Mytilus edulis: one gene and its partners. The protein of the gene in region 2 purifies or fractionates together with the protein of the main gene of each other region. This does not show direct contact. Links are inferred from orthologs where the notes say so. Each region holds a gene or a part of one and is shown on either strand. Other genes may lie near its edges.

The links.
Region 1: the proteins of UBX domain-containing protein 7-like (region 2) and kelch domain-containing protein 3-like purify together in Homo sapiens (affinity purification with mass spectrometry; 3 studies listed by BioGRID and IntAct, with this or other methods). This does not show direct contact. The link is inferred for Mytilus edulis from reciprocal best matches to the Homo sapiens genes UBXN7 and KLHDC3.
Region 3: the proteins of UBX domain-containing protein 7-like (region 2) and nuclear protein localization protein 4 homolog purify together in Homo sapiens (affinity purification with mass spectrometry; 3 studies listed by BioGRID and IntAct, with this or other methods). This does not show direct contact. The link is inferred for Mytilus edulis from reciprocal best matches to the Homo sapiens genes UBXN7 and NPLOC4.

The regions. Positions count from the first base shown.
Region 1 is NC_092346.1:24,036,650-24,040,412, reverse strand, and holds the start of kelch domain-containing protein 3-like, read left to right. Parts: upstream 1-1,319; 5' UTR 1,320-1,362; exon of another isoform or gene 1,363-1,372; intron 1,373-3,763. UniProt on the Homo sapiens protein: Substrate-recognition component of a Cul2-RING (CRL2) E3 ubiquitin-protein ligase complex of the DesCEND (destruction via C-end degrons) pathway, which recognizes a C-degron located at the extreme C terminus of target proteins, leading to their ubiquitination and degradation.
Region 2 is NC_092344.1:63,283,905-63,287,667, reverse strand, and holds the start of UBX domain-containing protein 7-like, read left to right. Parts: upstream 1-1,418; 5' UTR 1,419-1,505; coding exon 1,506-1,557; intron 1,558-2,707; coding exon 2,708-2,852; intron 2,853-3,601; coding exon 3,602-3,666; intron 3,667-3,763. UniProt on the Homo sapiens protein: Ubiquitin-binding adapter that links a subset of NEDD8-associated cullin ring ligases (CRLs) to the segregase VCP/p97, to regulate turnover of their ubiquitination substrates.
Region 3 is NC_092352.1:9,707,074-9,710,836, reverse strand, and holds the start of nuclear protein localization protein 4 homolog, read right to left. Parts: upstream 2,557-3,763; 5' UTR 2,435-2,556; coding exon 2,408-2,434; intron 85-2,407; coding exon 1-84. Other genes in the region: uncharacterized protein, read left to right, coding at 2,790-2,823. UniProt on the Homo sapiens protein: The ternary complex containing UFD1, VCP and NPLOC4 binds ubiquitinated proteins and is necessary for the export of misfolded proteins from the ER to the cytoplasm, where they are degraded by the proteasome.

The DNA of each region.
Region 1 (3,763 bases), on a different chromosome or scaffold from region 2:
AGTTTCTTTGTGATTTGTATCTAAACAACCCATTTTAAATTATCGGTTTTTGGTTGCCAGTGACAAATATTTCATGAATGTTCAGGAACAAATTAGCAATAAATACAATAAATACAACAGAGAAGGATTGTGCTTGCTATTCATATGATGAATCTTTCAATTAGTTTAATTGAGGTCTGGAGCTGGTATATGCCAGTAACTGCTAGCTTTATATAAAGCTATCCTTTGTTAATTTATTATCATTGTCATTGTGATTAGTTTCTTCTGTTTCCTATTCTGACATAGGACTTCGATTTTTTTTAAAGTGCGTATTGCTGAGCCTGTGTGTTTGTTTATTCTGCATTGAATAGAGGAAGAGGGGTAGGGTTGTGATATCAACAAACATGTTTAACCCGACGCATTTGTACGCCTGTCCCAATTTAGGAGCCTCTGGCCTTTTCTTGTATGATTTTAATTTTAGTTCATTGTTATATTTCGGAGTTTAGTAAGATGTCTATTATCACTGAACCAACACTGAACCAGTACACTTATTTGTCTAGAGACCGCAGCTGAAGCACGCCTAGCACAATGTTCATTGCGGCACCATACATTTAGTATTCCTCCGTATCATTGCTTGGAACTGAATTCAATCATATAAGACAATGCAATTAATAAAAAAAAAAAAAAAAAATATATAATACTATAAATGTTTGGCACTGGGGACACCAAATAGCTCTGAATTATTTATCCCAAACTCTAACCTTATATTAGAGATTTAAATCAACTTTTTTTTATACCGGTTTAAATATTTTTAATAGATGCACAACCTTAAAATTTCTGGACACTGTTATCCCATGTGATGTCTAATATGTAAATACAAAAAAAAAACGACTTCTTCTTTTAATTATTTATTTTGTAATTAAAAAATGATTTCGTGCTATTTATTCCTAACTAAGATTGATTATAATCAGAACCGTGTTTACATGTACTTTCGCCCCTTTTCTATTTAAAAAATCAAACTTTCAAAAAGCGAAATAATCAAAATTGCACGTTAAGTTCAAGAATGTTTAAAGTTTGATCAAACTTCTAAACAATCAAATTCAAAAACGATATTTAGAATTTTAATATTTTAATTATTTGGTTAAAATTTCAAAATTTCAAAACTTTTACACAATTTGGAATTTTTATATTTTAAAACTTTGATCAAATTTCCAAAAATCTAAAATTTATATATAACAATAAGATTGTTATCTGCTTTTTTAAATAACATGAATAAAGACGCACTGTGACAGGACTTCGAAAGACAATCTTGATTCGGAAAAATTTCCATGTTTGAATCCGTCATTGATTCTAAAACTACTGTAAAAACTTGACTTCCTTTTTGTAAGTCGAAGTATTTTTTTCCTCACAAAAACATTGCAAAAAAAAAATCCAGAAAGAACCACTATATGAATCAGAAATATTATATTCTAATTAACATATGAAGTTCTACTCACAAATAATCAGCTCTGTCCATACCAAAATTATATTTTGTCTGACATGTCTAAGATTGATTATAATCAGAACCGTGTTTACATGTACTTTCGCCCCTTTTCTATTTAAAAAATCAAACTTTCAAAAAGCGAAATAATCAAAATTGCACGTTAAGTTCAAAGCAGGATATTCATATAAGACAAGACATGGCAGGGGCAAGAGCTAGAGGTTGATAAATAAAAATCAAAATTGAATAATACTTCCAGCAGACCGCATGATTACAAAAATGTAAATGAACTAAATAATGAATAGCTTTCTCTTGACCATGGTCCAAAAAATGATGAAGCAGTACTACGTCTGTATCTCAATGTAATGGGTATTATAATGTAAATAATTGTACAGTTTTATCTGTACTACAATAGCTCAAGTAAATTTCAAGAGAATACAGTATCTGTATTTTACACTCCTACCTAGGAGACTACTCCCGTATTCGAAAGAAGAAGAAGGAAGTATCACCTAGACGTGTGTCCTGCTATTACTTTTATTATGTCATCATCAAGGTTACAAAGAATACATATTCTGCTCCTGTTCGGTGTCCAATAATGTTTAATTGTATATAAGTATTATTCAATTAAAAAAATCCTGTAAACAAGTAAGATGAATTGTTGGTGTATTATTAATCTTTCTATGAATAAGTTTTTTTTGCTAAAAAACCCTTTTGGGAGCATATGATGACTGTCGTGGTACACAAGCTTATGTAAATGGCAATATTTTTGCATTTTCAAGGGATGTGGTCTATTACCCTTTCATAAACCAGTATGTGTTATTTAATATAATATTGTAACCAACCTAGGGTTACTATAAAACTGTTTAACTCATCATTCAGGAGGAGTGGAATAAATGGCAGTGTGGAGAAACACATTTGTAATAAACATAACAATATTTATTTTAGTAGTATTTTGACTTCTTCTTTCAATATAATAAACATCAAATACACATTCATCATTCAACAGATAAAGCAATAAATCGGGTGGTCAATATAAAAGGTAGTTGACGGTTCAAGAGATTGATTCAGAATGACATGTTTGTCTACAGGCTCCTATTTATGTCTTTTGGCACTTACTATGACGTTAGAGTAAACATCTAATCGTCCAATCAAAAGCAACGTTTCTTGCGTCTTTTGGCTTGAAACGTTCAAGAAGACAATCAGATTTCGTTATTATTAAATAAAGACTCGTTATTGAGTTGTCCGTATTTTGTCCTTCTTGTCCGAATTATATTTAAAAGCAAATAAAACTAAAAGGACATTTCTACATAATGCTATTTTTAAACGGACAGTAAATTCCTTTATCGATACGGCGTATGAACTTGGGTGTAATTTACATAACCTTACGCATTAGATATAATGCTTAAATGAGATCAATGAAAACCCTGTTCTATCATAAATAAAGACAATGTTAATGAAAAGGGAGGCACAAACATAATAAATACACAATTTATCTGCATTGATAAAGTGTTAACTTAAACAAATAATAATATGAGATCGCAAAGTGAAAGTACAGAACGGTGTCATGGCAGATGTAAACAAGTTGAATCTCACGACGATATTTGTCAAAATAAACCACTATATGACGGGAAAATCAAAGTATTACATACATGACATAGGTAAACATTACCAAGATATACATATAAAACTGGCCCTTATCACTTGCAAAGTACAAATAGTTTAAATCATGAGTATGAAAGTCAATGCATTTATCAGTGTTTGTGCACACCCGAGAAGTTGACCACCCGGCAATATTCAAATAGATATATGTAATATACAATAAATAATAGGTTAAATAATAACAATTATCAGTCCAGATTTGTCACAATATGCTCAATGTTTTTTCATCACTGTGTATTATTTTAAATTTTAAATTTAAAGTTATGTACTATGAGGTCTTGTACATCATGTACATTGCAATTATCTGTATTTAATAAAGCGAACAATTGATCAAACACTTCTATGACAGATATATATTATATATATATATACAACTTGTCTAAACATCAACCCAACAATGTTAGATCTGTAAATTTGCTTTTGCAAATTTTTGGTTCTTCCCTCGCCGGGATTCGAACCCATGCTACTGTGATATTGTGACACCAAATCGTGTGCACTGCAGCTGTCCTGCTAGACCACACAACCACCTGGGCTCTCAAAAAAAGAGCTTTCGCTGGCCGTGTGTTACCTTCCCTCGTCAGTTTTAATCTAGCAGCGTACTACAGTACATGATATATAAGGCATGAAGATGTTATTGTTACAGAT
Region 2 (3,763 bases):
AACTGTCAACAGAATCAAAAGGACCACCAAAAGCACGTTATTCATCTTAAACATCAAAAGATTTTTTACACTCCAAAAATAGTTAATTCCACTTTCTTCACTATTTTTGTCTAGTGCACAAAAGTAATTTTCATTTTGTTTTATCACTTCAATGCAAAAGTTGCTTAAGGATCGATCATTATACTAAAAGGTTTACAAATCTCTTTGTCTTAATATAATGATTTACTTTAGATATTTAATTATATATATTTAAGGTGGGCGTGGTCTTTTCATATTAAGTAAGTAAGTAAAACTTTATTTTGATTCGTCATATTGACAAAGATACAGTAGCACTTAAAATTTATTGTGGTCTTAAAATATACTCATTATGTTTCAATGATATTTAGTTGATAATTAATTTCGAGAGATAAATAGCCTCCGGGTGCGGGAATTTCTCTCTACATTGAAGACCTGTTGGTGACCTTCTGCTGTTGTTTTTTTCTATGGTCGGGTTGTTGTCTCTTTGGCACATTCCCCATTTCCATTCTCAATTCAATTTTATCGTGTACTTCAGAAACAAGGTTAAAGGAGGACCACGCCCCCATAGTGGAGACATACAAAATAAAGATGACCGTTCTCCATTTCTACTCGATAGAAGTGCCTAATTTTTTTATAACATCTGCATTATGTACCAAAGATTAGAAAATGAAAGTATAAAAAAATCCGATAGTTGAATGAATTTTTACTTTAAACACAGATACTTTTCCAATTTCTAATTCTACCGACCTTGCAAGGAAAAACCTATAAAATATTGAGACCCCTACTTTAAAATGGGTAAAATTTTTTGCCCTACTTTGGACACCCCTTTTCTTTACGAATATCGATGTGAAAACCTAGCGAGATTACGATGTAAAAAGTTTAGGAAAAAATAAGGAAATGTACCCCCTTTTACAGTGCAGAAAATCGAAATCCGAAATTCTATGTTCAGATGTGAAAAAATAAGATTTCCTAAAAAAAATTTCAAACATGAAAATAATAAGTAAACTCATATATTTTTCTCTTATAAATGGGCTTACAATCAACAGCATTTAATTAGTAATAAAACAGCGCCACATTTAACTCTAGCTTATACATGTATCGTGTGAATACCAAGACATAAACATATTGCATATTGAGTGTTCAGTGTTCGGACAAAGCCGTATTAATTGAACGGAACGGATATGATCTCTGCGCCTGAGATTGATTGACAACTATAAACAAGATAAATGGATTTAAACATGAGCAAACATTTTAAGTATACAAACAAATCAAGCAAGCCAAACAAACAAATTCTAACCTTACTCTACAAACATTGGGAAATTACGGCTCTAAGGCGTAGATTTGCTTCCTATTCTTTTTTAGGATTTTAAATGGTTATTAGTTAAACTTTTTTTACTGGTTTCCAGTTATAGACTAAGACGCCTTTCCCGAAGAAGAGTAAGATGGTTACCAGAAAGAGAGAGGTTCCGAAGTTAGCGGCTTGAAGAATGGCAACAAATGTTGATAATGCTATTTTAGAACAGTTCTGTGCAATTACAGGTTATTTCGATGTCCATTTTTTAGATTTAGTCGTTAGGTTATTTATTCTCTTGAATATAATCACACAAGAAAAGCTTACAACGAAGTATGACTGTCATTAAGCCCCTGACATTTGGCACTTGCACTCCAATCATTTTGCTTTTTTGGGCTTTATTTTTTTTATGACACGAATCTAACGCCAGATAAGAGTAAATACTCAGCAAACAGTAAAGTAAGATTTAGTCATTGGACAGGTGTTACATGATGAGTAGCTGTGGAACTGTAGCTCAAAAGATTATCCTTTGGTCATGATATTTTTTTGTTTATTTGAGGACTTAAAAGAGTAAGAGCTACAGTTCCGCAACTATCCGATGAACTTGAGTTTTTTTTAAAGGTTCACCAATACACTTCAACAAAAATGGCTATGTTTGCACCATGCAATTTTCCCTGAATGCAGACAAAACTAATTTTAAAAGGTTTATATCCTGGCAGCACCTAGATTTATGCAACATGTGCAAGTTGTATTCATTTTGTGTTTTAAAAAGAAGAAAAAAAAGAAAGACAAGAATACAAAAAATGAACCATAGCAAAATTACACAATGACAGGATTTACAAAGCCACATCAAATTGATTTCACAAAAAGATAATAAATGTCACTCAGTACAAATGTACCTATAGACATGATAGATAGCTAGAATCTATACTTTTTGTTTTATTTTTTTCATCACTGTAATCAATAAAATCAATGTTAACCATGCATATATCATAATTTGTATTAATTATTCTGCTCTTCATGGGTGACTTGATTGACAAATAAAACTATTCATATTCATGATATTCTTATTCTTATTCTATACTTCAACATGTTCAAGATCTGACATTGTGTATCATTTGTAAAGTTAATCATGTTCATGATGATAGAGGGATGTTGTTATCCGAAAAAAATATCTGCATTAAAAGATAAAAAAACCCTGAGATTTTACTTATGAATTATCTAGTCTACATGTACAATGTTGCTGAATGTCCATTGTTAAAGATGCACATAGATTTAGGTGAGAGGCACAGGCTCTTTAGAGCTTCTAGTTTTATTATGATGATTAATTTAATTATTTTAATAGATATTAGTAATTACATGATATATGTATTTACATTTTCTTCTTTCAATATTTAGGTGCTACAAATGAAGTTGGTGTTCGTTTGTTGGAAGCATGCAACTGTAACCTTGACATGGCCATAGGAATGCACATGGACAGTAATACAGATGGTGTTGTAACAGAGAATGATCAGCCGTCAACATCAGATTATGGGAATGATGGGTAATTTATCATTAATATAATTGATTAAATTCTATGAGGATTTATTTTCTACTATTTTGATATGACGTGTACGAAAAAAATCAAGTAATTGAAACAACAATGAACATTGTGAAGCATAAGGTATGCCTATAAACCCTAATTATTTTTCATGATGACAATAATTTTGAAGGAAATTTCTATGTAGATTTCAAACATATTTTCAAAAATTAATGAATCCTGCTTGGAACACCACTCTTCTGATTCTCCAACATGTCCAACTTTCCCTGAAATTAAATTTTTTTTTTTCATTTACATGATTTGACCTTATACTAAATGTGCTATTTACTAAAAGGGAAGAAAATGATACTAACATGACATTCAAACTAACAAGTTGAAAAGTACATGTAGTTGATTGTCTTTTTTTTTTTAAATTGACAAATTATGCAAATGCAGTTTATACATCATCTTTTCTACACATTACATACTTGGAAGTGTCATGAGCGTCAAAGAAACATAGGTAATTAAAATAAAATAAAGAACTGAAGAAGGCCAATGGCCGAAACGTCTTGAAAAATTCGTTTATTTATACAATTATATATACATTTGTAGTATGTTCCCTATTGGAATTTTGAAAACAAATATAATTTTTCCTAAATGATCACCTCCAGTCTTTTTTTTGTGATACATGTATATATATTACTCATGCTTTATTTTTTCTGTGTACATATAGTGTTAGTCAGATAACTTTTCATGATCTTATTTATTTTTAGAGATGATGTTAGAGCTCCAATACCACAGCGAAGTGAAACATTGGTAGAAGAAATGCCAATTTATGGTAAAACTCAAATATTACCCTCTACTACTCAATACTCATACTGTTGGCACATGTATAATCAAAGATGTGTATCGTGAAAAAATATTCTTAAACTGTT
Region 3 (3,763 bases), on a different chromosome or scaffold from region 2:
CTTGTTTAGGAAGTCTGCAACAGACTCTGAGGATTTAGCTTCTACTCTCTTAGTACCATGCTCAGGAGACTGAATACGAACAACCTACCACAAAAAGTAGAACTTATTTATCATAGTTTGTTATAATTGCACAGAAATTAAAGATCATGTGACTGTTCATTAATAACGTTAGAGTACATGTAGTAATTCAACCTAATACAAACTAATACAAAAAGAAAAGATTAAACTGATCATAAAAGCAAAATGAAATTTAAGTTTTTAGTTTCAATACATGGTTTATAAACATGTACATGTAGGAAGCAATACTAATAAATTCAATAAAGTAATAAAATTGCATTAATATTAACGGACTCATACATGTCAACAAAATATAAATCATAACCTTTACACTAAAATTATTTACAAAAGGAGTGTTTTGTGTTCATCTATAAGCTGAAAAAAAATTTACGTGGCAAATTGGGCGTTATGTCATGTAAATGTTCTGAAATGAAGTCAAAATGTGCATGACATTTGCATAGTTTGTATTTTGTTGTAAAAGGACTTGAAATATCTGCCTATGGACAACGCTTTTATAACGCCATAATCAAATTGTGTCTTGAGAAGTACATCATCAGTATGATATTGTTCTAGTTTATGTCATTATGATATATTTCTATTATGAATTACAAACTACGTTGAACCATAAACGTCAAAATCATTCAATCGCGTAGTGGAATGTGTGGATTCTTATAAATTCTGTATATATATAACTTTTGGACTATATTCAATCTCGGTCTATTTCTGATATTTATTCTTACATACTTTTGATTTTTTAACCCTATATGCTAACATTGCCTATGTAAATTTTAAAATTGTTTGCATGCACAATGAACGACAAATTTATGTGACGTATAAAAAAAATTTCTGACATCAGACACACAAATCAATGAATGTGTTTGTAGATAGATGTTTTAGAGTTCTGTTAAATTGTCCCTTTTAAAATTGCTATACGATGATGACTGATGTACCCATATTTTGACTATTTTATTTATTGTGTCTGTTTAGTTTACACATCAATGTAAATATAACGGAATTTGACAAGACTGTCATCAAAGTGAGAGGGTTAGCCCTATAAAACCAGGTTTAATCCACCATTTTCTACATTTGAAAATGCCTGTACCAAGTCAGAAATATGACAGTTCTTGTCCATTCGTTTTTTATGCGTTTTGTTATTTGATTTTGCCATGTGATTATGGACTTTCAGAATTGATTTTCCTCTAGCTAAGTTCAGTATTTTTGTGATCTTACTTTTTTCATATACATGTATGTAAGGGTAATGTAAGTATTTTCCCAGTCATAATTCTAAATGTATAAATTAATTAAACCTTATTCTATAGCCATCATACTATCAGGAATCTGATGTACAGTAGTTGTCGTTTGTTTTATGTAATTCATACCTGTTTCTCGTTTTTTATATGGATTACTGATTAGACCGTTGGTTTTCCCATTTGAATGGTTTTACAGTAGTAATTTTTGGGCCCTTTATAGCTAATTGTTTCATGTGAGCCAAGGCTCTGTGTTAAAGGCTGTACATTGACCTATAATGGTTTACTTTTATAAATTGTCATTTGGATGGAGAGTTGTCTCATTGACACTCACACCACATCTTCCAATATCTAATCATTATTCTAGTGCAACAACGTTTGTAACGTTCATTTTGATTGGATTATGGATAGCATCACTTATTTACATGGCATCAATTGACAATTGATGCTATGGGATGTATGCGCAAGTGCAGACAGCATATGACAGATTTTAAATACATGTTTAAACGTTGTTTTCTGTCAGTTTCATTAGAATGGAGATAACAATATTGTATTTTAGGCTCCAACAGCATCAATTGGGGATTTGATGGTCGCAAATACCAGTTTACTGTCTCCGCTAACGCATGGCCAGTAAACTTAATTTGCGACCATCAAATCCCCAATTGATGCCATCGGAGCTTAAAATACCATACAGTTATCTCCTAAATATCCAGTTATTTTGTTATTCTATTTAGTTCAAAATATCATATATATATTGTATTGTACTTTGTTTAGTAATTACAATGATATTCTGCTTAGTAATAGGTGCTGTGATTGGCACCATAAAATATCTTGTATACAGAATTGTTCAGTTTCAGTTTCTGGGAATCATATTTTAGGAAAAAACCTACAACACGACCGCCACCTATCACATTTGTTTCACAAACATAACATATGATATATTCCATTGTGATGTGATAACATACCGATGAAATATTTTTTTCTGGATTTAAAAAAGAGCATTTATAAACGGATTTAATCATAAAATATATGAATATCTGATTGGTATTTAGAGCCCTATAAATTTTGTCTCTATTGTTTTTATAACATCGTGCTTAACTTACAATTGGCTTATGCTTGGAACTAGCCATTTTTGTTGTGTATTTCAGAGGAATAGTTTTGAAAATGAAAATATTAGTAATTTTCTACAAATAACTATTAGCAGACAGCTGACTTGCAAAAGCTGAATTTGTTCACCTGCGTCAACAAAACGCTTTATAGTATAATTCATAAACCAGTGAATGCTAAACACAGTTATGATTTAGAAGTCATATTTTGTTCGAAACTGTCGCACTTGCAGGAACAAGTTAGTTTTCGGTATCAAAATATGAAGTTAAACACATAACTTTTATTGTTACATAATCAAGGAAATTTGTATATGATATATCTTATTTTAGACAATTTCATAAAAACGACTTCCGGAACCATGGAAAATATGTAAACAACATGGCTACTGTAAAGACATTTGATGTCACTGCAGGTGTGTATATTTTTAACTTAATATCATTTGCTTTGTTAAGTTTCAGCAGAATTAAACTGTCTGATGATAATCTTCAGAAGATTCATGTTTTACCTAGTTAAACCAATAAGGTTGTCAATTGAGTGTTATTGTTTTCTCTTTCATTGACTTCATATATCATATTTGATTTAATTTTGATATATTCCTACTTTATTTTCCAATCCGTTATATCTGGAATCATGTCTTACCTGAAAAGATCAACAATTTCAAATCTGTTCTAGTTACTCCGCTTTTGCCAATTGTTAGATATTCTCCGTTAACGGATTTTGATTTGTGTTCAGTCATGTTCACTCCACCTTTTAGTTTCTTAAAAGTGAATTATTTTTCTAAGTCATTATGGAAGAAGTAGGCTAAGATCCAAAAAAATTTAATCGAACCTTTTCACCCATTTTCTCAATATGCGTTGGAAGTGACGATGCCTACATTTTAGTCACGTGGTGATGGAAGTCACATGACAGATACAACTGAAAACCCTTTAATGGAAGTGCCGTATCGGAATAGGTTATTTTTTTTACTTGTGTCTTTCACTGGAAAAGATCATCAATTACGCACTCGCATTATGACATTATTTATCAAATAGAAGGTGTGACTGTCTCCCTGCACTATTAAAGTTTCAAGCATCTTCAGGATTGTCATTCTGTAGGGTAGTCTAGAAATTATTCATGTTCTGTAAGTACATAATCTAAATTTCTATACAACTGCAGAGAGGGTGACTAACTAATTAGATTTTGATTTCCTGAATATTTTGGGCAGTACAGCATCAAATTATTTACCTATTAGTATCCCAATACATTATGTACATGTATGTGTTTGAAGTGATGATGCCTACATTTTGATCACATGGGAATGAAAGTCACATATAAGGGATACATGTACATGTATAACCAAATATTGTATTTTG